Drosophila melanogaster: one gene and its partner. The main gene of each other region encodes a partner of the protein of the gene in region 2 in a complex. Each region holds a gene or a part of one and is shown on either strand. Other genes may lie near its edges.

Evidence for each region.
Region 1: Vps8 (region 2) and car share a complex: the UniProt entries of both Drosophila melanogaster proteins name them as parts of the class C core vacuole/endosome tethering (CORVET) complex.

The regions. Positions count from the first base shown.
Region 1 is NC_004354.4:19,552,142-19,567,804, reverse strand, and holds the start of car (carnation), read right to left. Parts: upstream 1,787-15,663; 5' UTR 1,679-1,786; intron 1,623-1,678; exon of another isoform or gene 1,591-1,622; 5' UTR 1,464-1,590; coding exon 21-1,463; intron 1-20. Other genes in the region: Grip84 (Gamma-tubulin ring protein 84), read left to right, coding at 2,336-2,391, 2,498-3,032, 3,113-3,619, 3,687-4,729, 4,792-5,113, 5,296-5,394, 6,010-6,228. UniProt on the Drosophila melanogaster protein: Core component of the class C core vacuole/endosome tethering (CORVET) and the homotypic fusion and vacuole protein sorting (HOPS) tethering complexes involved in endo-lysosomal vesicle trafficking and lysosome biogenesis.
Region 2 is NT_037436.4:6,493,698-6,509,360, reverse strand, and holds the start of Vps8 (vacuolar protein sorting 8), read left to right. Parts: upstream 1-14,063; 5' UTR 14,064-14,170; coding exon 14,171-14,272; intron 14,273-14,339; coding exon 14,340-15,647; intron 15,648-15,663. UniProt on the Drosophila melanogaster protein: Part of the class C core vacuole/endosome tethering (CORVET) complex involved in endo-lysosomal vesicle trafficking and lysosome biogenesis by facilitating docking and fusion of endosomal vesicles.

The DNA of each region.
Region 1 (15,663 bases), on a different chromosome or scaffold from region 2:
ATTACTGAATTGGCGCTCACCTTTCGCAGAACGCTGTAAGCCCGCGACTCTGTTTGCAGATGGAGCAGGCCCGATTTCTCCAGGTTGCTGATGGTGAGCAGCACTTCCAGACCGTACACATGGACCAGTTCGCGCTTGTAGTGGTTAAGCAGCTTCTCCTTGAATCCGGAGGCGGCGTGGCACTGCATGCAGATGAGCCGCAGGACGCGATTCAACTCCACCCTGCAGGCAATCAGGTCCTCGATGTAGGCGCTTGGCTTGTCGATATCTGCGCAGACCATGAACTCCTGCTCGGCAGCCAGGTCGTCAGCGAAGCGCACCGCGTTCACCTGTTCGTGCAGGAGGCCAGCGATGGCCGTATGCTCAGAGGTGGCCTTCTTCTGGGCCATTAGCTGCGGCAGGAGGTTCTCGACGAAGCTCTTGATCTCCTGCACGCTCTTGTCCTGGGAGGTGGCGTGCATCTGGACGTGAATTTCCCGTGCCTTGCGAGCGAGCAGCTTGGTGACCTCGTTGAAGTGCTTGTTCCGCAGCTCCGCGTACAACTGCTCGCCGGAGTGCAGTAGGATGGTCTTTTTCTCGGTGTCACCCAGCAGCGACTGCGATTCCTCGACTCGTGGGCCACTGCCTCCGCCTCCGGGAAGGGCTCCGTCAGAGGGAAAGTTCTCGGCGGGCAGCGTCAGTTTGTTCTGCCGGATGCCGTAGAACTCATCGATAAGCCCCTCGTAGGTGAGTTGTGTGGCCAGCGGGCTGAGCAGATCGATGCTTCTGTCCAGAAGGATCAACTGATCGACGACACCCTTGTCGCCGTTGTACAGAGTCCGCTCATCCCGGCCCAGCTGCTTGGCGTGCTCCCATACCCTGTGCGCAAACTCTCCTTTTCCGTAGATCTTCGGAATGCGACCGTATAGACGCTGCAGCTGCACTAGGCCCACTGCCGCCTGATACAGCGAGCTAGTGTCACCGTCCACACTCACATCGCGGAAGGCATTGGGCATCTCCATCGATACCAGGTCGACATCCAGCGGCAGATAGTTCCAGGCCAGTTCCTCGATGTTTCCGAAGCTGCCCAACACGCCGCTGACCTCCAGTTGGCTGACGCACAGACATGACCGCCTCGGGGCGAACAGGATGTGGTACTGCCGTCCAGCGGCCGCTCTTCCGCCTGCCTTCACGTGGGCGGCCAGCTGCTCCATCAGCGCCACGCGTGGGCGCATCACGTACACCACATTGGCCACCTCGCGCGGCAAATGAAGCTCCGGCTTGAGGGCCAGCAGACGGATGCCTCGATCAGCGAATAACTTTGGCCGGGTAACCAAGTCCAGCGGTCCGATCATGGTCTCGTCCAGCACAATAACCTTGGAACCCTCAATGCGGTCCAGCTGCTGCAGCAGCTCGCGGCAGGCGGCCTCCTGCAGCAACTGCAGGTTGACCCGCTGACCATGGCCCTTCAAGTGGGGGAACATGCTCCTTTCCTCTTGCCAGAAGTGTTGATTCGTATGCTCTGCGGCTTCCGGTCGGTCGCTACCGTGTCCTTGGTGGGCGGTTTGTGCAGTGCGTTGGTGGTGTTGGTGCAACGCCCACGGATTTCGGCTGCAGAAGATCAGGGACGCGACTGTAATCGCTGCAAAGCAGCTGATTTGGACTGCGCCTGCGCTCAGCAGTGCGGTCTTACACTTACCCTTATGGCACGGTCACACTGTCCGCTGCTCTATGGGCCATTCACACTATCACTTGCCTGCAATTTAAAATCAAAACAGTTGCCAGATATAAATTTTGTTGATTAAACAAGAATATAAAGTTAAGATAGAATAAAATAATAGAGGAGTAGTTTCAATTATTTAATCTGTGGGTAGAAAGTATTTCTTATTTATTTTTTATGTACAGCTTTTTTCATTTAACAAAATTTGTATTTTTTCAATGCTTTGCACGCTTTAACGCAAATAAGTTACAGTAGTGGCCAGTCCAGTGTAAACTATGCTAAACGCACCCCTCTTTTTCGCCAGCAACCAGTGTCACCACATCCTCACAATTAAATACCAACAAATGCCAATTTGCATCAAGTTGCTTGTGCTGCTCATTTCAGTTTAAATTGATTCCGAAATTGCTGCAAGCGCGTAAAATAAAATGAGCATCTGCGATTTTAAAACGGCTAAGGATTGAAAAAAAAACTAGAACATTACAAGGACAGATGACAACCCTGTCGCTGCAGTCGGCACTCAAGCAACCCGGAAAAGAACAACAAAATATTGAGAAGAGCGGCGCACTCAAAAAGAGCTCAATTGCCGGTTATAACTGTAAATTGAGAAGCGCGGAACTATAAATTGCCATCTCCGTGATGAGTAAACCCCATGCGCTGCGCGGTGTGCTCGCCAATTTGATCAGCGAGTCGCAGTAAGTGGATTGAGTGCACAGGTGGCCAGTCGATCTAGCCGTTGCTCCTGCACCGCCTCTTTCCCGCCATTGGCACCATAGTTTACTGTCATTTTTTATCCCACAGATCGCCCCTAACTCCGGAGAGCATCATTCGGGAGTTTCGGGCCACTAGTGATCGGCGGCTGCCAGCCTGCGATCTGATCAAAGTCCTGGTGTCCATCAGCGAGAAGCGTCCCAACTTCGCAGAGGTGACCAAGGAGATCTCGCACATTCTGCAGAATAAGGATCCCATGTACGCACTGCTGGTGTTCGTCGAGCGATACAGCGAATGCAAACCAGTCTCCGAGAGCAGCAGTTCCACTAGCCTTTCAGCGATGGGCTTGCCGCACGGAAACAAGACTTCGGATGTTAATTCCGCAGCCGGTTCAGTCCCCACCACATTGGCAATCGCAAGCACCTCGACAATCTTAACCACATCGCAAAACGTATCTGGTTCCACCAGGCTTAGCTTGACCCAGTCCCAGGACTTTCCCACCTCGACGCCGGTGAATTGCAAAAAGGCCACTGAATCCGACACTACACCCGTAGTCTTTGTCAGGCGCGGCCCAATGGACCGTAACCGTGGAGCGGGCAAGGATGAGCGCAACGACTTAAGTGTGGTGAGTGCAGACTAAGTATGGTGTGCTGTTCGCTGCCAATTACTTGGCCCCTTCAAATAATCAATGATCAACCCACACAGATCAAGGAACGTGTGCTTAATGCCGTTTCCGATCAATCCTTGAGCGGCTACCGCTCGGTGACCAACAAAACGGGCAACAGCCCAAAGTCAATGCCGAATGACCTGGTGACGCTAACTGATGTGCCCGATGAGTACCGCACCCATTTACTGTGGGAATACTACAAGGTGGACGGGGACAAGGTGCCGAGGGCAGAGATCGCGGCAATGCCGCTTCTCAGCCAGGAGAGTATGCTGCTCGACGAGCTGCTGCACTGCCTCACGGGCATAAGAGAAAGCCTCCTGGTGCCTCAGAAGCCAATTATTTCTGCCGTTGGCCTGGCCAAATACGACACGGACTTTGACATACACACGCACCTCGATCGCTCGCTGACACACCAGGTGCGGGAAATCTTGCCATTGGCCTCCTACTTCATGGGCGTGCAGAAGATAATCGCGGCTACCGACGGCCTGGGTCAGGTGATGAACTCATTGAATGAGGCACTGCAGGAACTTACACACGACTTCTATGTAAGGATGTGCAATCGTGTCGTGGCAAAATTTTTCCCTAACTAATCTTTTTTTCCACCGAGCCTAGCTGATAATCGTACAAGCCGAACAGGAGCTGCGCCACAATAGATTAACATTGCAGAAACTACTGTACTACCTGCAGCCGACGATGTGGGTGATGCATGAGGTCTGGTCCTCGTTGGTGATCATTCAGCTAAGCGATTCACGGGATGCCGAAGTGTTGACGTATTTACACGAGCGGATCAAGCGGCTGGAAGGCAACAAAGATGCACAACAGCTGATTATCGGACTGGTGCGCAAGGCGGCCAAGCCGTACATGCGAATGCTGCAGATGTGGATCCAGAAGGGCGTGATCGTGGACCGCCACCGGGAATTTCTCGTAGTGGACAACGAAGTGATCCATCGCGACGAGCTGCCCGAGCACTATTCCGACGATTATTGGGAGAGACGGTATACCTTGCGCGACGAACAAATACCATCGTTTCTGGCAAAGTATTCGGATAAGATCCTGCGCACCGGCAAGTATCTCAATGTGATCAGACAGTGTGGCAAGCGCGTAATGCCCACGCAAGAGATGAACCTAGAGTTCGACCCGACCAGCGAGCGGCACGTGTCCGTCATCAACGACGCTTACTACTTTGCCGCCCGCATGCTGCTGGATGTGCTGCTAACGGAGAACGACCTGATGGGTCACCTACAGTCGGTGAAGCGTTACTTGCTGCTCAACCAAGGCGACTTCACCATGCAGTTCATGGACGCCTGCGAGGACGAGCTGACGAAGAACGTGGACCACGTGTTGCCCATGACGCTAGAGAACCTGCTGGGACTAACGCTTCGCATTTCCTCGGCGCGTAATGATCCCTACAAAGACGATCTGCACTGCGAGCTGCTGCCCTACGACCTGGTCACGCAAATGTCCAAGATCATGAAGAAGGAGGAGAACTGGCAGGCACAGCCTCGCCTCGATCTTAGCGGCCTCGAGTGCTTCGCTTTCACCTACGAGGTGAAGTGGCCCTGCTCTTTGGTGCTGAATCACATTTCCATCTCCAAGTACCAAATGCTCTTTCGACAGCTCTTCTACTGCAAGCACGTGGAGCGCCAACTGTGCAAGTGGGTTCCCGATCCTTAACCTTTTATGCCCACGATCATTTAAGTTCTTCTCTCGCAAACAGGATTTGGAAGGAAAACTCGATTGCCAGGCAGTTCGAGCCGCAGGCGGCTAGTCTCTATCGAGCGGCGTTCACTCTGCGCCAGCGTATGATGAATGCCATCCAGAACCTGGAGTACTACATGATGATCGAGATCATCGAGCCCAACTGGCACATTTTCATTGAAAAGATGAAGACGGTGGAGAACGTGGATAACGTTCTGCGTCTCCACCAGGACTTCCTCGACTCGTGCCTTAAGAACTGCATGCTGACCGAGTCGTCGCATCTGAATCGTTCGATCTTCAAGCTCTGCAAGATCTGCCTGAAGTACTGCGAGTTCATCCAGGTGAGTTCCAGTTACAGTGCGAGGGTACCGGGTGGCTAAATTGCTAAATTTTTGCGTACAACCCTTCTTCCTTTGCTCTGTGCTTCGTGCTCCGTGCTCCGTGCTCTTAATGCTCTATGTCTATCCCGCTTGCCAACGCTTCCAACTCTATGTGGAATCCTTGCTAATCCCCACCTTCGCAGATCACGCAGCGTTACTTTCAGGACGCTGAGCTCAGGTCGATGGTACGTGATAGCGCGGACAGCTCCGAATCCGAACAGGAGAGCCTGCACTGCCCACAGGTATTGCGTAGGCTTGTGCTCAACCACGTTGTTCCTTGCGGTTCCTGTGTTCTCGCTCCCACTTTCGTTATCGGTGGACCCATTTCCGTTTTGTGTCCAGCTGGATTGCATAATGGCGTGGCCCCGATTTTGATAGCATTGTTTCTTTTATTTCGAATTTGGATTGCATGCTTTAAGTTATTTTTGATTGGCTTGCCTATGCATTAGGCCATTTGCTTTCTTTTGTTTTTAAAACCTTAAATGCATCTTCTGGTATCATTAAATTACTAATGCAGAAATAATCTACAATAAGTAGATTATTATTAAGTTTTCCCTGATTATTATTCCTTCTTAATGAATCTACTTACAAAACGTAGTATTGTTTGGAAAAAATGTTTTGAAATTCAGTTAAAACAATTTGTGTAAGACCAACTTAAGCGGTTAATCTATATATTTTATATACTTATTTTTATATTTTATATACTTATACTTTTGTGTATACGGATGCCACAAAATTAGCCTGAGTTCGGGAAGAATTTGTATATACATAAGAATTCCCCCCAAATTCAGTGTATTTGTGACATCCTCACATGTATGTTCCAGTGATTAACTTGTGATTTCTTTGTCCCCTGCTAGATTGAGACCCCGTTGGATCCGACAGATACGTTTTCGGAGCGGGTTAGGCGCTTTGATCTGGAATTTACCCAACTGCTGATATCGTTCCTCAAGCAGATCAACAGCATGGCGAAGAAGAACACCGCCGATTGCTTCATGAATCTGGTGCACCGCATCAACTTCAATGCCTTCTACACCGATCAAATGGACAAGATGTGTGTAGAGGATGCCATTGGCTAAGCCAGCACGTCTAGAGGAAAGGATGTGGATGTGGATGTGGATGTGGACGTGGAAACGGAAACGGAAAAGACAAGAACAAAGTATTAGATAAATGAATTTCATAATCACAAGCGCACATTTACCATCATTCCCCACGCATGTCTTCTCATTTGCCATCCAACAAAGCGCACCAATTGTTACCCGTTTAGTTATACAAATTCGAATATGTATGAACCAATAAACCAATTAAAATGTCCTTCGCTGCTGCCGTTTGCGTTCACACAACTGCAATTTACGGCACTGGACACGATTTTCGATTGCAACGTAAGCCAGTGGCGTAGATTGCAGATTGTGCCGCCAACCAAGATATTGTACTTCGTCGTCAACCAGGTCATCCGCGATAAGCTTGGCCACTCTGTTTAGAAATGCACAAATATCCTAGGTAGCTCTCACCACTGGTTTATACATCGAATCAGAATGATAGCTGAGATCTTGGTTTCCAGGATGTTCATCATCGTTTGCTCCTGCTACGGGGTTTGCGGTTTTCCCCCATCCTGAAGCCTTTCATATACGAAGCTTATGTCGTTGGTATTTGGCCAGTTCTTAATTTAAGCTAGCCACTTGGATTTTTGGAGTGGAAGCAAATGCAAGCAAGAAACCATCCAGAATTTTAACCAAATTTGATGTTAGTAAACTCGTGATGGGCATCAATGTGGTAGCTACGCTGTAAAGTAGGCAACAAATATATTGTTCCCTGCGAAGAGAGCATTATTTTACTAAAGATCAGTATGAGAACGAAGAACTATTGTTAAGTATGATAAAGAGTGCAAGAACATCTATAAATATTATGTGCATGTATATATGTGTATTCAATGGTTTAATATACATATGTATGTATATTGCGAATTTAGTATGCCCTGATTTAGTTTCAAGTTCGCACTGCGATTAAGCATGAACTCGAAATCTGAGCTCTAAAATATTATTGACTGCTTTTAAGTATAAAGTATATGCTATATATAATCTGGCATAAATAACAAGTTGTGCTGCATTCGCTTTAATCGCATTTTTCTCAGCGCCCATTTCCCTTAGTCGCAATATGGCGAGTGGAATTTTCCTGGTTTTTCATCGTTGTCCGATGGTTTCTCCGCTTTGGAGCCACCGACTGTCCAGGAGCACACATGGCATAAATATACATATATGTATATATATGTACATACATATGTACGAGCCGATACACACCCACAAAAGCCAATTTCTAGGCATTTGTATGTGGGTGCAAGTGACCACCCCCCCCCCCCCCCCATCAACCACTTTTGTACATACATATATATGCATATAGATGTATATACATACATACATACCCTGCTATATGTATCATCTGCAAATATTGGAGTATATAAATATGCAGTCGCCAGTGGATGTGGGTTCGTTTGTATGTTCGCCATTAGCCGTCATCAATGTCCAACGGTCATCTCTATAACATCTCCGTCACTCCACCACCCATCACCCACCATCCAGGCTCCCAAACTCCCAGCACCCGGATAGACCACCCTACGCCCACAACTCCACAAGCAATTGGCAATTTAAGCTCGCATGAATTATCGACAATCAATTATGGTTTTTGGCCATGTCGCTCTCCGGGCTCCATCCTCGTCTATCCTTTTCCTGCGAATGGTCTCGGCAATCGGACTACTGGACTGCTGGACATTTGGCCAGCCGGATAGCCAGATAGCCAGATAGCCAGATAGCCAGATGGCCAGATGGCCAGTGCCACATAGCCATATATATGTATGCCCATCGACTGTGTGCGATTGTGCGCGCCTATATATGTATGTATGTTAATTAATCAAAAGCCCATCTATCCATCGATTCGGCATTTACAGACATATGCAAATGAAAGGCGCACAAGCAGCTCATTAATGTGCGCAGAAAAGCCCCCAATAACAAATTCGCTAATAACAATAATAACGGTGACGAAACATGTCGCTTTAAAAACAAAGCCTCCACTCGCATTGCATTTTCCCCAAAAATCATCGAAGTCAACTTTTTCCATTCGACCATGTGAATAAACTATCTCATTATCTTTAACTCCTTTTAGTGATAGTCGTCGCATTCGACGAACACTCTCCCGGTGCGCTTCGTCACTACGTGGATAGACGTTTCGTTTGCTTGCTGGTTTTACAAACGCAGCAATTTTTTAATTGCATTATTACTCTTCCGATCTTATATTGTGTTAGAAAAAAAGTATTTTAAGTTAAGAAAAGTGTTAGCAATAAGTTTTAAATAAAGTTTGCGGTTTTAGATAATAATCTAATTGAATATCCAAGGCAAAGTTATGCTGAAATCAAATGAAAATTTAAATGAATATCTGATCTGAGTATAGGGTATCTGATAGGGAAGGCACTCGCGCACTTTAAGTTTATAGTTGTATGTATTGCAGTTTTTTGTTGCTATATGAAATCTTAGTTGTAGTTTCGTACAAAACATGATTTAGACAACGTGAATATCTCATCAGATTTCGAACACTGAAGATGTGATATTCGAGTTATCTAAAGCATACCTTGTTTGTTGATTCGTTGTGTTGGGATTCCCCGGCGCGATGTTGTTAGGTGCAGTGCACCGGCATTGATGATAACTAATCCAATGTTGAGAACTAATCCATTGGAGATGGCCTCACCAATGCCGCGGCACTGCATGGCGATGCCCACCACCGCCGTTGCAGACATTCCAGTGCATCCGTCGATCCTCGAATTCTGTGAAATCTCTGAGTGCAAACGACTCCCACATCTGTACCGGATGCAAAACACATACAGGATGTAGGAAGTGTTTAAAATCAAAAATTCAATATTGCCAATTGGATAACTTGGTGGTCCGCACTTTCGTATTCTCCGCTTTTAGTTGTTCATTTTTCGGTACTTGAGTGCTAAATATGTTGAACATGCATGAACATGTGCAATATATTTAGTACTCCAGTGCCGACAAGTACATACATATATAGGTTGTCAATGTCCTGGAAACTTTTTGCCATAATACCAAGACTTCTCCTATTCTAGATATTCTAAAAAAACAATAATAATAAGTGTATAATATAATGGGCAGCATGATGTTCGTGTTATTTTTCGTTTCGTTGTTCATTTTTCGGTACTTGAGTGCTAAATATGTTGAACATGCATGAACATGTGCAATATATTTAGTACTCCAGTGCCGACAAGTTTGTTGTCACACAGCTCAATGTCCTGGAAACTTTTTGCACGAATACCAAGATTCTAGATATTCTGAAATCATTCAAAAATATCATTCGTATAATACATATAGAATGTATAATATAATGGGCAGGACGAGGCTTGAGCTTATTCAATTACAAGGCCATTCAGCAGGACGGATGTGCCTGGCTCGACACATCGCCCATCCGTTCATCCGTTCGTCCTTCTTCCATCCGCCACTCTAGCAATCCACCAGCTCCATCTCCAGCTTCCACATGACACGTGTCCTTGGACAATGGGCCGCACTACAAGCGACCCACTTAGAAGGAATCCCGCCCCCCAAAAGACCAACGCCCCTCCCCCTCCCCCTACCAAAATCAAGGTATCCGTTAATTAGGCAATACAATATACAATATGCTCTAATTTTGGACTCTAAAATGCGATAGCTTTCAATCAGCTCAAGTCTCAGTTGATACTAAATAGTTTCCTAGTTCGATTAGATGTATTTCTTTGAATATTAACTAGTTTTGGCTTAAATATAGAAGCAACACCCATTTCAAAGAGTAGATTTCCATTTAATGAAACCACTAAATTATAAAATTTGAAGGCCATCTTTAATTCGATTCCATTTTCTTAAGAAAAAAAGCCCAATGAAAGTATTTGTATGTTTACCACTCAAAATGAAGTATGTACCTTCTTGGATCCCCACGGTATCTTCAAATAATCTGACTTATCCGGTTAACTTGGTCGAGTGCTTTTTAAAGGGAAGGGGGGGGGGGGGGGATCGAAAACAAATGAAATGATTGCATTGAATAAGTTTAATAGATTTTGCCACTCAAAGCATGACCCATATACACGTGAACCCGGAAAATCAGACAGACACTTTCCACAATCCCGAACAATCCCAATGAAAATTGGCGAACTTTATTCGCATGTTGTGGGCGTGGCACTCTTTTTTTTTTATACTTTTTGTGTGAGCTTGGTGGGGCGGATTTCTGGTTGGACCAAGTGCATGAGGTGGTTAGTGCCGAAAATTCCGTGCGAAATTAGGAAGCTTCAGGAAAAAAGAGGAGGTGACGAAATTAGCGAACACAGCCGCACACGTGACACGGTTTTTGACTTCTTTTGACTCCTTGACTGCTCCTGTTGCTGTTTGTTTGCTGTTGGCCAAGTGGAGGCACGTGTCGCAGCAAATTGGGTGATGTCCTGCTCGTCCTGTTCGTCCTGGAGGGCCAATGGCCGGGGGCAAGGCCGCTGGCGATGGTCGGGGGTTGCGGATATATGGATGCGGATGTGTGTGCGGATACGGACGTGAATGTCATCCGCATGCCGCCAAACAAAGGCATTGCGCTGACGTCTACGCACGCAACCACACCCACAGCAAGGAGGCGAACGCCCAAAGGACCAGGTCGACACACCACACCTGCCTCGCAGCTCCGAAAAACGGCTGCCCGGTTTCCGGGGCGAGCCTAGCTCCTTCTCGGTGTCCAAACAATGCCAGCACAACAAGCATTTCGCCAGCAAGTGGCAGCACTCATCGGATGGAGTCGCCAGTTGGATTCCCTCTTTGCAGCGATTGCGAAATGGTGAGCATTAATATGTGTACTTAAGTACGTTATAACTTTATACGGGAATTTCTAAAGTCACAGCTAATAATTGAGCTATAATTTTAAGAGATATCCAAATCTATAGGTAGATTAAGTGTAGAATGTGTGAAAACTATTTCAAATCACACCGTTTTGGAATGTATTCAAGCAAATTCACACTTGATAATTAGTACAAATTAAATTGAAAACTTGCTTAGTAGATTTGTAACCATAACTACTGTTTATGTTCCAAAAACTGTTCAAAAGTATGCTGCAAAAATGGAATTTTAAATTTAAATACAGCTAAAAAAAACATCGTTTCTTCAAGTGCAAAGTATACAATTAACCCAACCAAACTGACTTAATTTGCCACTCGCAGGAGTTCCGCCGACAAAGAAAAGGGGAATGGACATGCAACTGGCTTTTGCCCGTGGAAGTGGGCAGGAGGAGCTGACAGGAGGGTGGGCAGGGAGTGGAACACATGTGCAAATTGATTTCGAATTTTTGTGGCATAATTCCACAATTCATTTGATCTTCATTTGGCTGTTATCGCAGTGACTCTTTGTTGTTCCTGCCGTTCGAATCGACTCGCCTGGCTAGAATGGTTGTTACAATTTCACAATTGCTTGCCATCCGACGCTCCGAGAGGCACATCCCAGGACGAGTCCTTGCCTACTCGAATTACCAGCACATTGACATCGACACATTAGGGCAAGTGCAGGCGGAATCGGAATCGGCAATGGGAACGAAGGCGAAAATCTCAGGGAGGAGGGATTCAAATGGGAATGGATTCGATAGGCAATGGCAATGGCAATGGCAATGGCATTGGCGGCGGGTGGAATCGGACAAAGTGAAGCAGTGAGTGGAGTGAAGCAACCACCACCACAGAGTGAGCAGGCGAGGCACTGGAGATTTCATCCGCTGGCCCTGATTCACGCAGTTGTCCATCAGGCCGTCCTCGCTTATCCTGGTTGCTCCCAAGTCGCAGCTCCTTCCCCTTCGGTGCGACAAATGTGCGCTTTAGAGCGACACCCCGAGGTGTTGGCTATCGCAGTCACTTGAGAGGATGACTTCATCCGGCAAGGTCCTGGTCCTGGTCACATCGCGCATCTCCTGTGCATCTCCATCCCTCCTATCGTACGAATGCGTCGGCGCCTCATCGCCAAATCGAGCATATGCGCACTTGGATTAGGACGAAGTGCGGAGTGCCTATTTGAGGATTTGACTTCTCCAATTGCAAATGCCCTTTGAATTCTCGGATTTTTTGTTTCTGGTTATGCACTCATGCATCCGGAAAACTACGCCAACTTGGCTGTCTACATTAATCCTAGCTTAGAATGTGAAACTTTGCACTACTTACAGACAATAAGTGTACAAATAGTAATAATAGTTATTTCCTACAATTAAGTGTTACTTTGTTTTTAGTGGAAAATATGGAAAATAGTGAATGGTAAAAGTTTTAATTTAACATGATTGCTTTTAAAAGAAGCTATGTTCATTTTCCCATTCTCTTTAACCACAATTTGCATTGGTCGCTGAGTAATGAAATATTATTTAAGGGTTAAATCAAGAATAAGGTTTCTAATTAATATAATATAAATATAAAAAACTTTAAAAATAGGCAGAATAGAAACGGACAAACATGCGGACAAAGCTATACGGACGGACAAAGATCGCTTTCCTGTATACTTTATACTTTACTTTTTATACTTTATGTATAGTATACCCTTTGGAAGGGCTTACACTCAGAGAAAAGCTAGTTCTCAACGATCTCGATATGAGCATTACGATCTTAAAATCTAGCAAAGATTGAATCATAATTCAGCTTTCTCTCTCATTTTTTGAGCCATCCCTTCACTTCTATCTTCCCGAATTAGATCGTTTTCTTCTCATCCGAATGATTGATGCCACTGTTCCCAATTTTTCTGAGTGTAAAACCACAATACTACTATTTCCTTTGAGAACAAGTGTAATTCACTGTTGATACATATACTTGCAGTCGCAATCTCCAAATGCTCATGTGTAATGTTGATCTTATAAGGAAATATCTATATCTATCTATATAGATATCTATCTATCTATCTATATCTCGATCAGCGCAACTGAAGGTCGGCTGTGTTGACAGGCGAATTGTAGAGATGTGGATGGAAACATCTCAATTGAAATCGGACGTGTAGTGCACTTGTGCAGGACCACCGGGAGTGCCGCCACCCCCTTTTGGCCAAGTTGCCACCCCATCGAGACGAGGACGCAGGAGGACCAGGATGCGGATGAGGATGAGGGTGAGGTTCAACTGCCCGTGTGCTGAGTTTCATTTGAAATTATTTAGGCAATAATTACTATTGTGTCTTATGCTTACATTTTGCCATTCTGCCACAACGAGGCGATGGCGAAGTGGTTCGCATTCGGATTCAGATTCAGATTCACATGCGGATGCGGATTCGGATTCGGGTTCGGTTTTGGGTGTGGGTATGGTTGTGAATGTGGATGGGGGGTGTGGGTGTGGGTTCCACGCCCATCCCATCGACGTCGTCACCCTCTTGACTTAATGAGGCCTTTTTGTGCTCTTGATGGATTTTAAATTGTTGTCATCATCGCTATTTGTTTGCTGGTGCTGGTGCGTTGGCAAATTGTTCGAGGGGTGAGCAATCGCAGGGGATGAGGTTTGGATTGGTATGGAATGGAATGGGTTGTGTGTTGGTTGGTTTCGATGGTTTCGTAAGACTTGGGGTGGGGTAAAAGGCTTGGCTAATCCTGCTAGTTGGATTGCGGTCGCCGGCACTGCTAAGCGGATACGGATGATGATAATGATGATGAGCCGTATGCGGATGCCAATGCGGATGCACTGCTTTGTCCGGGTCAGGCTTTTCACTTTTCACTTTTCACACTCAAAGCGTCTTATACGCACCTTTATCTCTGGCCATTGTTCAGTCAGGATGTGCCTTCATATCCGACCATTCAAATGGATCGCCAATGGACTTCAAATGGATTGAAATGGACTGGATTGGACTGCTCAAAAAAATCAAGTAAAATCAAGTAATCAAGTAAAGCGAATTAAGTAATCATGTGTGCTTGAATACATAAATAGTATAAATAGAATGCCATCTCTTTTAGATTTTAGATTGATGATTTAAAGTTCAGCTGTTGATGCTTAGAAAATATGATAAGATAGCTATGAAACATCTTTTGCTGAATAACAATTGATTGGTATAACAATTAATGTTGAATGTGCATGTAAATAAATATAATATATATATATAATATATAATATATGAATATTGGCTCATATTTATTGATATTCGGCAACAATTAATTGAATCTAATGGGCAAGTTTCTAGCTTACACACAAAATTTGCCATTGATTCTGCTTCAAAGCTTCGCCAAAAATTGTAATTAATTGAATATTGTGAGCATATCGGACGGTTAACAAGCGCTGTTAAAGGACTCAAGTTATCGCAATAAATAGACCCTTTAAATTGCTTATCAGGCTCTTAAAAGCTTTTGTCTCCGCACCCGGTGGCCATTAAAGATTTAGCAACCTGTCGTCTCATTGACTTCACCGCAGTGCTGCAAACTGGCGACCATCCATCCATCCATCCGTCCATCCATCCGTCCATCCATCAGCTATTCGTCCGTTCTCGCCTGCGTTCACGCATGGTCAGCCTTTTCGAAGGAGCAAGGACCAAGGACGAAGGCGCTGGTGGATGTGGATGAGGATGAGGATAAGGATGACGATGGAACGGGGAACGGGACATCATGAGCCGGAAATGCGAAGAGGCCGCATGCTATCGCCCCTTTTCAGTTGCAAATTACATTCAAATTATACGATTTTGATAAGAGGGACATTCAAAAGTTTCCAATTTCAAGTTGTGCCGCTCTTCAAGTGCGCCGCATAGTCCCCCCCCCACCCCCCCGCCTTCTTCGTCCTTTCTCGTCCTTTTACCGCCCGAGTCCTGCGTGCCGTCAAAAAAGTTCTCGCTAAACTTGTCACAAAGTGTGCGTGTGCGAGCGGGATGCAAGGGCACAGCGAGCACAGCACGATGCGGATCGAGATGCGGACGCGAGTGCGGATGCGGATGCGGATGCGAATGCGGAATTGCAAAGGCAAAGGCAAAGGCAAAGGCAAAGGCAGCAGGCACAAAAAGTTGACATATGTGCGCCCCGAGCACTTTTCCGGAAACAGCAGGGCGACATTTTTTCCATTTCCACCTTCTTCCATCCGGCGACTTGCCCATGCCCATCCCACCTCTCCCCACCCCCCCGCACTTCGCGCTCTATATGTGTATCCTTATTTTATTTTTTATTTTTTTTTTTCTTTATTTTTACTTTTCATTTTTGCGATGAGTTTTGAGTATATCTTCAGCATCAAGGGACATTCACTTGATTTCTGTTGCGACTACATGATAAACATGTTCTTGTTGTTGTTGTTGTTGTATGTAGTTTTTGATGTATCTCGAAATTGGTATGGTATGACTGGGAAATGTGTGGAGAGTCGCAACGGAGGCGGAGCAACCAAGCCAAAACCCACCCATGCATCCAATCCAATCCCCGCCATTTTGCACATGTACAAAGGCCAAATGGGGATTTTGATATTTCTCTAATACGTGAAAATGCAAAGTGAAATTGAATTTCTTAAAATGATGCCAATTAAATCGAAAGATTTGAAT
Region 2 (15,663 bases):
CCAACTCAATTTGCCGTCCCAACAACTTCATCTGCACTGACTAATTAGTCTGGCGCTGAAAAGTATACTATGACAAAAGTAAAACCCCAAGGAGCAGCCAGCTCCAACACAATCTTAATTAGTCTGGGCCAAAATTGATGAGGATACATATGAGGAGGCGACTGAGCTGGCCGAAATGCAGCCATATTTCGTAAACAGAACCATTGGCCAGGCCGAGAGCCATGCATAAAATGAATATCAATTAGGCCAAATGGGAGTGGAAGGCCGGCTTCGATTTCAAAGATAAACCCAAGGATGTGTGTACAGCTGCTCTGAGTGTTCCTCGTATTTTGTTGATTAAAGTCTGTTTGTTATGCCAGAAATTTTGTACGGTATATCCCCACTATCTTTCTATCACATCTACAGAGTAGAGGATTTGTATAGAAAAGTGTAAAAATAGAAAAACAATAGATAACCACATTTTAAAAATATCTTTTTAGTTCTAAGACTCTTTGAGAAAAGAGTAATAAACCTAATCTACTTTTCTTTAAGTGCACAGCATTCCCATTTATTTAGAGCAGATAATATATAAACCCCACCCCCTGTTACTCTAATGTTGCCTTTTAGATAGTCGCATTTTGCACCCGAAAATGGTATAAGGTGGCGATTTCTCATTTTGATTTGGTTGTCCGCTTTTTGTGCTCCTTTATTATCTACTGATTTGTATTTGTATCTGAATCTGTCTGTATCTGTGGGGCGTCTTTCATGCTCCGATAAATAAAATGAATTGAAAAAGCAAAAACCAACGTACACACGGAGGGACAGAAGAACGACCTCCGTAGGAAAAAAAAAAGGAAACTCAGCTCGAGGATAACAGATTAGTTGGAGCTGACTAGCAGCGTCCTGCCTTCCCATGGAAATCAAAACATTTTGTTAAAAGGAAACACCCACACAGATGCCACAGCCCATTCACACAGATACGAGCGCGTTTATCTGCGGAAACGGAGATACGTTCTACGTGCTCTAAACTGCCAACTCCGCCTCAATGGAAACTGTCTATCAGAGAATCCTTGCGGACTGCCGTCTGTGTGTCGGTGAGTCTGTGTGCGTTAACGCATTTTGTTGCCAACTTATGTGTAATAAAATGTAATAAAATAAAACTCTCATATTAGAGATGTTGTGCCACTTTTTGCTGTTTTGTTGTCTCGACCCCATAAAAAGCACACCAAATGTCGGCTAGTTTTGTTGGTGTCTTTGAGCTGTCTGTGGTTGGTATTAGCCACGTTACACATACGCAGTGTTGCCTGCGCAGAGATCTTCGTGATGGTGATGGTAATCACCATAACAATCAGACTGAAGTGGGCACAATGACACATAACAAGGCTTATTAGGATCAGCGAGTTAATGGCCATGTTGATAAACATCAAGTGGTCTTAACAACAGATTCCACCACTTGATTGATGTGATTCGATGATGCAATTATGCATTGTCTCCATTATGCTTTGTGCATTTTTTGGTAGCTAATAAAAATTGTAGCTACAAATGATAAAAAATAATAAAAATATCTTCAATGATAAATAAAGCATCGAGATACATTAAAGTTCCGAATATTTCGAATTGGCCTACCGTAAACAGAGTAATTATTTCGGTAAAAACAAATTAATTATTCCGTTTGTGACATTTAAGCAAACATAAAAATTAAATTCGTATCAAAAAACATTTAAATGTCAGTTAAAATAAATCAAGCGAAAGGCAACGCAATCTGTCAGTTATTGCCCCCCATTAATGCTAACTGAAAAAACTTTTCCCAAGCTTTTTATGGGACAATTTCAACTCATTAGGCAGCTGCTGCCAAAAAGCAAACCGAACCAAACGAAACCATTAATTACATTTGGCTGCCGGCGACAAATTGAATTAACTTGTGTCAAAGTGCAGCGTATTGATTTTCTAATTGGAGCCCAAAGACCAGACCACAACGGCATAACAAAAAAAAAAAGGCCATCAAACAACATAAAATTCATTTTCCACAAGCAGAAAATTAATAATTTTTAAATGAATTTTGCTCAAACATTCCGAGAAAAACAGAGATGAGCACTGACCATTAACTTAATGAGGGTCATTGTGGGGCATGCGGCATGTTGGCTCTTAACACCTTGCAACAGCTGATGACCACAAAGGACGCGCCGGATGATGATGTTGTTGTTTATATACTCGCCGCCTCTCGCTGCCACTCCCCCTCGCTTCTTAAGCTACCGCCCCCAGGATATTCCCGAGCTGCGGAGCGCAAGGGATCCAAAGCACTTTTTAATGTGCCAACTTCCGTTGGTGGCAAAAAAGAGAGGGCCAGAGAAAAGAAAGATGACGAGGACGAGCACGACTTCTGCGGCGGAAACGGAAGCCAAACAAATATGGCCGACGCACGCTTGGGCGGACAAAAAAACAACAATAAAACTTTTTAATGCACTTTTAGATGCCACAGTTGGGCTCTGCTGATATAGACACTGGGTCGAAAAACAAGGATATATATATTATGATTTATGATTAAATTAAGAATGATAAAGATAAATGATATACATGTATTAAAAGTGAACAGATCCTAGTTTGATTAACTAAAAACTTATACAAGAATGAAACTGGAAGTTTAAAACAATTTTATAAATTATAAACTAAAGAGCATATTTATTTATACATACATGTATATAAACATTTATTTCAACACATTCCAGTACCATACAAACACCTACTTTCCAAATCTGACTTCAGTGTAAACTCAACTTAATGAATATAAATGTATTTATTCATCAGTCAAATTTCATCACTGAGCTTATCCCTTAATATTGCCGCATTAATTAAAAGTTTACGCAGATTAAATTTTCGCATCTTCTTTTGCCACCTCACCACTGTGCGACTTCCGAGGATTATTTCGTTGTGCTTTCTTCATTCCGCGGGTCAAACCATCATCCCCCGCTGGTGTACTTACAAATTTTTGATTTGCCACTGAAATATTTGGCCCACACTTTATTTTCGTTACTGTGTTTTTTCTTTTTGTTTTATATTTAATGCGTATATATAATTTGCGCCAATTCATTTTTGTCGTTTTTAATGTTCTCTGGGTTTATTTTCAGTTGGAGCCTGCGGTTAGCGAGGAGACCGTAAAAAGCCAGAAAGTTTTTGCCCCTGACGTTGATGATGATGACGGCCGAAAGCGTGGAAAACAAAACGCTGATACAGGACGGGAAAGTTGGCCAAATGACAGAGAACAGTAAACAGGACATAACGACAATTTAAATGACATTTTTAGTTGGCATTTATGGTTGGGCGGCAGAGGATAATGGGTTCTCTTCGTATCCAACCAACTGTATCCTTTCCCCTGTGGTTTTCCCGACCATTTTGTGTGTCGTTGTGTGTGCTTTTGGATAGTGACATGCGATATTTGATCAATAAACTTGCCAGGACAGCACAGGATACGCCGTGATGTGTGTATCCTGTATCCTGTTTTTTTTTTTTGCACAGTTCCCCGACGAGTTCCCGAACCAAGCAGAATTTCACTCCCCCGTTGGCTTATTTTTCCTTTTGACTCAAGCCGCATTCATTATGAAAAGCAAACAAGGTAGACGCCACTAGACGCCACATCAATCCGGCTCTTTTCCGTAGCCGAGCTAAAGCGTTTTCGCACGTTTTCCTTCGCCATCCATGGCATCAGATCAAAGGACCTCGTCGTTTTCCCCAACCTCATCCCATCTCGTCGTCGGTGGCACTCGAGGGGTTTCGCTCTGGCAAAACAAAAACCCTCGGGCCTGTCTCAAGCGTTATTTATTGTTAACGAAATAGCCGACGCCTACTTACCCCCAACCCATGCATCCCCTTATGCACAAAATCTTTTACAATTCAACCCCCAAAACGCCTTGAGGGCAGGTTAACGTTAAAGGGTCTTTTTAGGACCCGCTCGGGGTTGCCAGACCTCGCAAAAAGGACACGGACAAGGACAGAGGCCGAGACATTATCATTATTCCGAGCTGTCTGGCAATTAATCAAATGCTAAATGGCAACAAAAAACGCATTTTGCGGCTTACAAGGCTGTCGACTTCTGGGGGTTAAAAGCAAATTACATTGAAAGCTTTCGTTTGCTTCAATAAGACGTACAGTGGAAAAAATATGTCAACAAATTAGCACGAAACATGCAACAAGTATTAGGTTCTTTGAAGAAAATTATGGATATACATATGATTTCATTACTGGATAAAATTTGGATATCATCTTACATGTTTCGAAATTGCTACTCAAATCGACAGCTTCAATCTGTAATAAAATTGGAAAAATGGAAATAAATTACTACGAAATAGTATTTAGTTTCGGTAATGAAGTTTGTTATTTTCTTTAAAATATTATATTGTTCAAAATTTTCTGTTATAAAGTCATTTAAAGCTCATCCATAGCTAATGTAATTAAACTGACCGCTTTGGTTAAATTATCCCAGCGAATCTCCGCAAGCTGGTTGTCCTTGTTGTCTCGTTATTGTTTCAATTGTTTCTGGACAGCCTGTCCCGACGACAACAAAACTAAATTAACACATACAGGGACAGCCATGGGTTCACCACTGTCCTTGTCCTGCTCAACTTTTCCCAATTGTCCCCCCCAGCAGCAAACCCCATCAGTTTCGCACTCTCGTGTTGGTTTCTCTCGAACACACAAAGCCAATTGACAGTATGGATGCTCTGGGGCGGATTCGAGGGGGCTTGCCAGTAGGTTTGGGGCACAAGTGCCGGGCGAAGCTGGAGCGGCAGCAGGAGCCAATTGAAAGCAGCACACAAGGATTACAATCTATCAGCTCTGTTCCCGTCCTCCTACTTCGCCCAGCCCTTCCTCCGTTTTGCACTCATGAAGCGTCCAATTTTTTTGAGCTTGTCAAGGATTCAAAGTTCGAACGCTTTTGGACCATGGTCCGCACTGGTCCATACTCTCTATCGCCCTCTTTTTCACTCTTTGTCAGTGCCCATCTATCCCTCCCCCTCTAGCCTTGTTCAACTGCAGCTCAGCTCTTGTCGCATTGCAGTTTTGCCAGGGTTCAAGAGCTTTGTGTGTGTTAAAACGCTTTTTATTGTTGTAAATTTTCGGGTGCAAGGTTTGTTTGGGCCGCTATTGTTCGGCAGTCTAACTTGGCTAAATCGGATCGAAAATCTCCAAAAACGTGGTAAACTTTAGAGATTTTGAATCCTTCATTGATGAAACATGATTTTATGATTGGTATTTATTGCTAATTCTATTAGTGCTTGTGTTCTTGCAAATTAGTTAGCAAAATAGGCGTTCGCCTTACAGAAGTTGACCTGTAGTTGCTTTTGGCTTTTCGATGATTGCTATAGATTTTCGCTTCTGCCATTTGCATGGGCCAACACTGCGGCTGTGTGCGTGAGTATCTGGCGTATCTGTATCTATGTCTGTGTCTGTGCATGTGTATGTGGCTGTCAGGCAACTCTATTACACTTAAAACGAGTCAATGCGTTTTAAAAAGGAACGGACCAATTGAACCGGCATCCATATATAGGAGCGGGTCAACAAGGGATCTATGCAAGGATGTGTGAGTGTAGAAGCCTGTGATTGTGTTGATTGTGCGCGAAAGAGAGGGAGGAAAGGACGAAGCTGCACCTTGGGGAATTTGTAATTGAGGCACGTGTACGGCTAAATGATTGTGATCTTTTGGGCATTTCAAATATGCAATTAACGAACAGTAATGAGTACACATAGGAAGGCAAAGGAAACAGGAGCAATGCATTGTGCAATGGGAAAACAAAACTTTGACAGCAAACCAGATCTAAGTGCATTTAAAAGTTGAGCGGTTTTCGGAATAGCAGAGAAGTGAATTTAATTAGTATATTTTAAATAATTAAAAAAATATAGTAGTATTTATTTTTAAATATTTGTAACTCTTTATATGTTATTGGAAGACAATCCTCTATGCAACAGCGACCAAATCCAAATTTTCAATCACCGTAATCGAACTACGAAATATCCACTTTGTAACTCACGCAAATTGCCATAGATAAATCTGTCCCAACAATCCGGCAGATAAACTAATATCTCTTTCTGTCCATATCCGGTACGAACTTTCCAGTCCATTGATGACCAACCAAACCGGCGCACCATTTTACAAATTGACTTTATGCCATCCATTTCGATTGCCTTACTGCCGCCGCCACCCACCCAAAACTAGCAATTGCTCCCTTTTGCAAATCCTAATCCATGCTCCCTATTTATACTCCTCCAAAGCTCGATTTTCCCATTCCGACCCATCAATGCACACAAAAACGGCAGCTTAGAGCAAAGTTTTAGCAACTAAAAACGGAGTCACATAAATGAACAGGGCTGTGGACACAAAAGCGGCGAATATATATATATATATATATATATATATATATATATAGGAAAGGATATAGTTGGTCGAGGGGGGCCTGGAGTGGCGGACGTGGACATGTCACGCACACTTTATCCTTTATCCTGGCAGCGTCGTGGCTTTTGGAAACGTTTCATTTTCCGTTCTGTCAAAGGTATACAAAACAAAAAACTTTCCAACTGGACGGGACGTCGACGACAGCTAAATGCGCGAAAATGTTGGACCATAACACCTCGCAACGCCCCCCCTGGAAAAACGCTCAAAATCTACCCAATTTTCCCACACTTCAAACGCAGCAATGTTGCAGGGAACACGACCAACATGAAATTAAAATGTAATTTTGTTAAGCTGTAATTTGATTTTTTTATATTCTTTTTCCCCGTTGTTGACCATTTATTCATTTCATTCATTGCTAACTTTGATTGTTTGACGACCGTGATTGCTAAACTCTACACTAATTTGTTGAGTTGCATAAAAGTCACAAGCATCAAAAACAATTTAATAATATGTATTTGCAGTCCAAATTTCGATGCAAATATCAGATTTCGAGAAGAATTTTAGTCATTCAATGTTTTATTCTGTGAAACCCTCGTTTTCGTAAAACTTCGCTCACTCTCATTCACTCACTCATTTCAATTCGATTCGAGTGTATTAATTTAACAGCAAGTTGTGAATGATGCCATGCAGATGTTTAGTATATATACTATATATTACGTACGTACATAACGCTTAAGCGCCGGAACAAAGCAATCAGCAGAGAGCCATGCGTGCGTGTGTGACGTACAAGAATAACGCATAAACATAAAAAATATGCAAAAATAAGGGAAACAATAAATGGACAAGGAAGAAGCAGCGCCCGCAGCATTCATAAGCGGTAAGCGGGATAAGCTTTGGATGCCACGCCCCCATAAACAAAAAAACGCCAGACTTTACAGCTTGCTCTGTCATATTTTTTGCCTACAAGTTTACAATGCACCGAAAAAAAATGACAGAAATATAAATAATATCAAATATGTAAATTTTAAACTTATAACTTATAAGAGTAGAGCTAAAGATATCAAATTAAAAAGCAAAACCAATATACGTTATTACAAATATGAGTTTAGAATACTTAAGAAATTCCATACAGTCGAAAATTGCTGATATGTTTACCACCCCCAAAAATATAACAAAAATATTTTCAAGTGTATCCCAAACTGCGGGCCGCTAAACGAGTATCCTAATTTCTTGGTTTTTATTTTATTCAGCTTTTCCTGGTTTAACGCGGTGTACAATTTGTTGTTTAACAACAATACAAAGGCACATGCACATCATACTTTGCGGAAAGCAAAAAAGGGCGCCGCCAAACAAAAACGGAAAAGCGCAGGGCGCGAGAAAAGCCTTCGAGTTTGAAAAATGTGTGCGAAAAATGGCCAAAGGCAGCCGCATTGTGTGGCCAGCTGCGATGCGCGTGTGTGTGTGTATAAGTGGAATTCGGAGCGTGTGTTGGCCAAATAACGACAACAACTAAAGCAACAAAAGCGGCCAGCGAACTGCAATCGTACAACCTATATATATAAAAAAAAGTGGAATACTAGTAGCACACAGCTGGTAAAGCCGTCGAAATGTTGCAAAACATTTGCAACGTTTAAAATTTTAAAACACAAACAGAGAGCCACTGAGTCGGAGATAAAGGGCAAAGGAAAAAGGAAAGCGAATGGGAAATGTGAAATAGCTGGTGCAAAGCTCTTCCTAATGGAGAACAATAAGTAAAGGGGACTTGCAACCGAAAACTTCACCACCAGCTGCCCCAAGTGCTAGAAAACCTCACTGACAGAAACATTTACTGCACTAAATAAGGTTAAAAAAAAAACCAACAAGAAATGATAGCTGCAAAGCAGCTTACACTGAGCTGCAGCGAATGAGGCAGCTTGAGTTGCACAGAAAATCTATTAGTTCATAAAGAGAATACAAGGGATGGTATAGTTTTTGGGAACAAAACCCCATTGAATAAAAGAAGAATATAAAACACACAACCTATTACAACTTGACATGCAAATTATTACATTTCAAACGAACCCGCCGCCACTATAAATTCCATTGTAAAAACAATAGAAATTGAAAAGCTACAAATCTCGCAGGTTGCCCAATTACCGAAAATTCTGCGAAATTTAGAGACCAAATACATTCCATAAATTGAATTGGCCAAGCACTTTGCCGGTTTTTATTGGTAATCCTGCCACCAACTGCGGCAGCTGCAGCGGTGTTGCATGCGGTGTTGCACGGCATCCAATAACAACAAACAAAAGGCATTATTAGCATAGTCATTAACACAGTTGGTCCCAGCAAGCCAACAGCGAATCCCGGACAAATCTCGCATAGCAGAACCTGCTAATTAGCAGGGGCCACAAAAAGAAAATACAGGGTAAAATAACACGAGTTCGATGCGAAATCAATCCAAATGCGGGCTTAGATGTACATACATATGTACCCGAATAATAAGCGTATATATAATCCTTTCGTACATAAGTCTGAGTATCGTAGACCCTGGCTGGCAACGCAGATGCAAATTCTGTTAGCAAACGGACCCTCTCGACCTTTTTCAGGCGGCTTATTTGGCATTTTGCTTTCGTCCCGGCGGCAAATCATAATCATCAGCGAGGAGAAAAAAAAAACAAAAGCAGCTAAACAAGGACTCCCACAGACTGCCATGCAGCAAATCATTTATTAAGAAGCCCCTTCATCTTCATCTGAGCCATGCTCCTCCTGCACATCTCGCCAGATCCCCACTTGGCCCCCACTTTTTCTGTGCTAGCTCTATGCTTTGGGGGCTCTATGATTGTCAGCGGGCACGGAATAATAGCTAAGCCGAATGCACTGAGCATCCATCTGAATCTCAAACTGAATCTGAATCTGACTCTGAATGCTGGGCGAGCATGAAAGAAATATGAACGGATGCCTCTTGAATGGCTGGCTGGCTGGCTGGAGAAGATGGAGGAGCTGGAGAGGAAGCCGAAGGAAACTGGGACACTCAATGCATCATCATCCTAAGCCGCATCAAACGAGATTTGTCAGACGGGCGTAAGCAGCAGAAAGGCGTGAGCTGAAATTTAGACATAATAGATTGCCGTGAAGAATGGTACAGATTAAGTCCTAGATCGGCTTAGCAGCTCCAGCAGGCGGGGAATTAAATAGAAAACTGGTTTGAAACATGCAACTAACAGTTCTCTAAAAATCTAAGAACGTTTTGAACTGGAATACATAAATGTATAATTTCTTGGAAGCAAGAGGGAACCCTATTTGCGAATAAGCACAATTCTTGGAACCTTATTAGACTTACATTAAAATAAATACTGTTGATATATATTTATGATTAATTATATTTTTATTGGAAACGGAGTCATCATAACAATGAAGAGAATACAATAAACAAATTCGTAACAAAATGATTAAATTGTCATTACATGACATATGACTTGACTTGATATGAGTCAAACAAATCAGACAATGTGATTTATACAGAAAATACATTTTAACATTATTAAACATTCCTGTTGAAATATTTATTCGCAAAGAACGTTGAAACTTCATTTTAACTACACAAAAGCCAGACAAATTCCTCACTCGAGCTTAATTAACTAAAATTATTGACAATAATCACTCGCTCGAGAAGACGTGGCCATAAAAGCAGTTCTTCCGGTTTCACACACAAAACCCAACTAATCCCAAATGTCTAATTATAAACGTATTCTATCAGAGAGTCACTCGATGAAGCACTCGTGTTGCAGGCCAAGAATGCAGAATTGGACAACTGGTTTTATGGCAAACGCCAAAATCAAGCAAAAAGCATGAGGGATGGCCCGATGGATGGAAAGCACCTACTGTTATCAAGTGGCAGGACGATGTTGCAGCAAGCACACAATATGTTGCCAGCTGTACAATGGGCCACTTAAACGACAACAATAAAAAATTATTAGAATGCCAATGGCAGCCGAGGCACAGGCAATAGCAAAGGATTCAGCTAAGGACTTGGCTCGGCAAGGAACTCAGTACGGCACTTCATAAATCTAGCAACGGCATATGAAATACGAGTATCCTGTGCTGAGAGCAGAGCCAATCAAGTTGCATACAACCCGGGGCATGCAGCCCGGGAGCACACCGAGAGAAATAATTAATACATCCTATATTAACGGGGGTATTTATTGGTTGTTCTGTTGTAAAGGATTAATTGTACATTCATTTTACTTTACTACTTCTGTATTTTAAAAAAGGTTATTTCTTGTATTTCTATTGCTTTTTGTTTTTCATTTTGTCTAAATATCAATAAGAAAGATTATACTTTTCAGTGCATGAAATAACGCAGGCAACCTTGTTACTACTTTTTCAGCATGTCCTGACCATCCAGGACAGATAGACCCAGCAGAAGCACACAAACTCACACACATTTGGCTTGTGATTTATTAACAAGCTATCGTTTATCATGTGGGCAACAAAGGGTTAATGCCTGAAGGGCCTGCTGAGTTATGCACCACCACCACCAGCAGCAGCTGCAATTGCCAATTTGCTAGCTGTGGCTATATGCTATATGCTCCATATACGATATATGGGAAAAATGGATGGGAAAAGGTAGCGGGGGCGCGGGACCGATAGCCGAAAATATCTGAGAGGCATCAAGATAAACAACAATCGCCTCAAGATAAACAAAAAAGCGGAAAGTCACGAAAAGTATGCGCCAGACAAACGAAAAAAAAAAGGCAGCGGGGAAAAAAAAAGAAAAACCATGAAAGCCGCAATAATTCCGCACCGATAATTTATGTGCGCCGCCAAGTTTATAAAAATTAAGATATTTCCCATTTCCCATTAAACATTTCATAGCTGGAGAAACTGAACCCAAGCTATATGCCCATAACTTATCTTGAAAATATTTGTTTTGAGCGCCGTGCTCTCGAATATTTTTTTTATTCGCTGCTTCCTCCGATTTCTTTTTGGGAAAAATCCGAACGTGTTGAAGCGTTAAATTTCCATGTGGGCGGCCGGCCGGCCGTCCAGAGAATGGCCAAGACAAAAAAAAAAAAAAAAAACGAAGAAAGAAATAGGTGGACCGAGAAGCAAACAAGTTGCAAAGCTGGAAAAGGAGTCGACGTGGGTGCCGGGGCCAAGATAAAATGTTGACCAATAAATTTTGTGACCATGAACGACAAACACACAGAGCGAGCGGAAAATAAAAGGCCAGAACCTGAAACCTAAGGGGGAAAAAGGAACAAAAAGCGCATGGTCAACAATAATAAACACAAACGATTAGGGGCAAGAGAAGGCCCCACAAATATGGTATGCTCTCTCGAGAAATCTTATTTGGTTCAAGAACCCATTCGAAATTCCCATTAAATTTCAATTGATTCAAATACATGCCTGGTTTTTAATCCCGAAATCAAGTAAATAAATGGCTGTTCGTTCGTTAGTTTCGTAGTCTAATAATTTATGTATAATGATAAGGCATTATGACAAATGAGCTTATCGCCTTATTCCGGTCTATTTAATCTGAATGTATTCGATGGCACCTACAACAACTTTTAAATAACAACCTTAACGTTATACAGAAATTTATTTGTCTGCGTTTAAGTTCAATAAACGCACCAAAATGGCTAGAAAAGTATAGTGAATAATCTTATCTTATAAAACTCATCAAGGAACACTTAAAGTCAAATTAAAATTCTTAAGGGTAAACGATGTTTCATATAGTACAAAATAAAACAAATCTGCATTGCAAGTGTTATTGGATCCGAGATAAAGTATCTTAAATGACAATCATAAACAGAAATCTGCTGTGAGCCATAAATATGAATGCTTTTAAAAATATTACTAGGTTAAATGAATGAATAAATGAATATATTAAGCCGTTTTTCAATTCTCTTTCAGTATATCAGTTTACGGAAAATAAAAAACTGCTTTATTTTAAGAACAAATATAATGATTTTCGGGTTGAGATCCCTTTTACTGAAAGACCCGAGAAATATATTAACCTTTCCAAGGAACCCATTATAAATATTCGGTACCCTTTGAGCCAGAAATCCAGGTAACTCCTTCGTTATGGTTAGTGTATGACAAATGTGGAAAAACTAGCGCGACGGGCGATTGGCGACTAGCGCGACTGGCGGCGACCAGACCAACAAACAATGTCCAGCGATTTCCGATCGACAAGTTGGGGCCAAGAGCGTGATGAACGCGTCAAGAGGGGGTGCGAGGGAAGTCGGAATGGGAAGAGGAGGGAGCGAGAAAGAGGAGACGCAGCGTGTGCAAGAATGCTTTGCTCCGCGAGTGTCATTAACTCGTTTGCCTTATCTCGAAAAACGTAAACGAAGCTGCATGAGAGCTTTATTTACGTATGTAGGAATGTGTGCGTTTGGGAAAATTACCTGCGAAAGGTGCCGCCCTGCCGCCTAATTGATAAGTTTTGGTTTCATATTCGTCTATGTAAGTAATTAACTATGGTAATTTGGGAAATTGGGTATATTTGGAGCGCGGCGTCTTCTTACCTGTCGCACATCAATGACGCACGCTGCCGACGCCGACTTCAGCAGCGACGCTGGCAGAGGAGTTTACGTTAGCTCTCTTGCTATGTATCTCTCCCACTCGAACACAAACGTGTTGCGCTCACCAACACCAAGGCGAAATTGCACAGCTGAGCTGGTGAAAATACAGCGAATGCGGTGCACAAAACAGAGGACCGAAAACAATAACGTTATGTCAATTTGTTGCTGCCTGAGTTGTTCTCTGCCTGCTGCTCCCGTTTGTTGTTACTTTTTTTTGGCACGTGAATCGACAATCGCATTTTTCAAATTCTTGCACTCATTCGCTTTTGTGCATTTGTTTACGTCACTGGCTCATACACACACGCACGCACACCCGCACACATACGCGCGACTGAATGAAAGGCGCGTAAAGAAGAGAGTGGAAATGCCAGAAAGAGAGCGATTAATTTGGCAAAGCGCCGCACGCTCAAATAAACAAATATTTTATTTATATTTCGTGTCCCAATCACTGCGCCATTGTTTAGTACTATTCGTTAGTGTCTGCTAATGCCCATTTTGCACAAGTGTCTTATGCATGGCAACAAACAATACAATAATCGAAATTTCCACTCGCGTTTTGCTCTTGGCCCGCAATCACGGGCTGCTGCAACTGGCAGATAAGCGAATCCGATTAATAATCTAGTGCGCCGCGCATTGTTTTTGGTTACGCGATTATTCAAATGGCTCGGAACACACTTTATTGCATTTTAATTAATATCTGCTGGCCTCGCGAGCAGCAAAATCGTCCGCTGCACTGAACCGAACGCGATGAAAACAAAGATGAACTAGCGATGGAACAGATGGCGATGTGAGGTCCAACCTGCGATATTTCGATGTTTGCTAAGTCGAGTAGTCGATTGGTCCTCTCACTCGATAAGTTTTTAAATTTTCGATATTAAATTTTTAACTTTGTTGAACTTAACATTAAATTTTATACTCCCATTAAGTTGTAGACTGTTTCCAGTTATAAGCTTATTTCTAAATGAATAATTTAAAATTCCTGCTTCTTAAAGGAACAAAAACAAATATACGCCTTCCTCAGAATTTAAAATTTATCTTTACCTCTGTTATTTGTCCAATTAAATTAAGTTTTTATATAAAATCATCGATAACAGAAACCGATAAGCAACCGAAAGACATCTGTTATGCAAACGAGTGGGCAGTCCTTTGATGGGCGTAGAAACTCATTGATAAAAACAAAATCACTTAAAATTATTAGTTTGGGGGAGGGATCAGGATTGAAAGAACCGGGAGCATGTCGGAGCTTAAGGCCCCGTCGCTGCAATCTCTGCTGGAATCGGAGCGAGGATCCACAGACAGCCTACTGGCCGAATCCCTGCAGCTGGACTTCGAAGATGTGAGTTGGGATTACCCGAAAATGGAATGGCCTAGATAACACTTTATCTTGATTCATCCAATTATAGCTTGATGATGCCGAGTTTGCAATACCGCCCACCGATGTGCTGCCTACTTTGGAGGCGGTGCTCAGTGAATTTGAGGCGGATTCGGATGTGGCCTCCGAGTTTGGAATGCCGGTGCCCCATGCCACGCCCACGCCCTCGATTGGTGAGGATTCCACGATCAGAACAGACGGCAGAGGTGGTGGAGGATCCATAATGAGGTACACCCTCCTACACGGCATCTCGGCACAACTTTCCTCAGCGGCGGAACGTGTCAATGCCGGAGCAGCCAGTTCCTGTGCCGTGGCCGCATTCATAGCCATCGGAACATCGCATGGACACATTTTGAACTTCGATGTAACCCAAACCCTTAGGTGGGCCCATCAGGACAAGCATGGTCAGGGTGCGGTGGCCAGTTTGGCTTTCAATGCGGATTCAACGCGACTTTTGGCTGGTTTTTCTAGGGGATTGGTTGCCATGCTGGACACTCATACGGGTGATGTTCTCCGTGAGCTGTTCGACGTCATAACCCCAAACACCGGCGTACTGCATGTCAAGTGGACCTCGAGATCATCACTGGCCTTGTGTGCCGATGCCGGCGGATCGGTGTGGTCTCTTAGTTTCACCCGGAAGCTGGGCATCCGTGGCTGCCAATCGAGATGCCTCTTCTCCGGCGCTCGCGGAGAGGTCTGCGCCGTGGAACCTCTAATAATGGACTCCCAAGGACGCCATGAATTGGATCAGTACTGCATTGTGGCTCTGGCAACGTTATCCAAGTATTTTATCGTCACTGTCCGACCAAGATTAAGGGTCATCAAATACCACGTGCTTCAGGGACCTCCTGATTGCTTACCTCTCCTCGCCTGGCATTTAGTACTCATTCAAGCGGCAGATACTTCCCGCTCCGTGGACCCCGTGATTGTCGTGGGCCGCGGGAATCAATTATTCTTTCACCAACTGTTTGTCTCGAACGGACGAATAACGCTTTTATACCTTCGACATGTCCAGCTGCAGGGGAGTCTCCTCTCCGCTCACTGGCTGGGACCAAAGTGTGTTGCCTCATTGGACACGGCGGAAATACTTCATCTTGTGGATGTGCGATCCAGTAAGGAACTAGAATGTATGGATATGGCCAACGCAGGACTGGTCTACGGATCAGCGCAGTTTAAAGGACTAGCCACTGGCGGAAATGTGTCACCTGCCTTCGCTTTAGCCGGCTCAAATGCCTGTTATAACTCAGTGGTTTCAAGAGGAACCCAGTTGTACGTTTTAGGCGCCAGGTCCCTGCATATAATTGGAGTTAGAACTTGGTCAGAGAGAATAAGCTTCCTGGTAAGATCAAAACTGT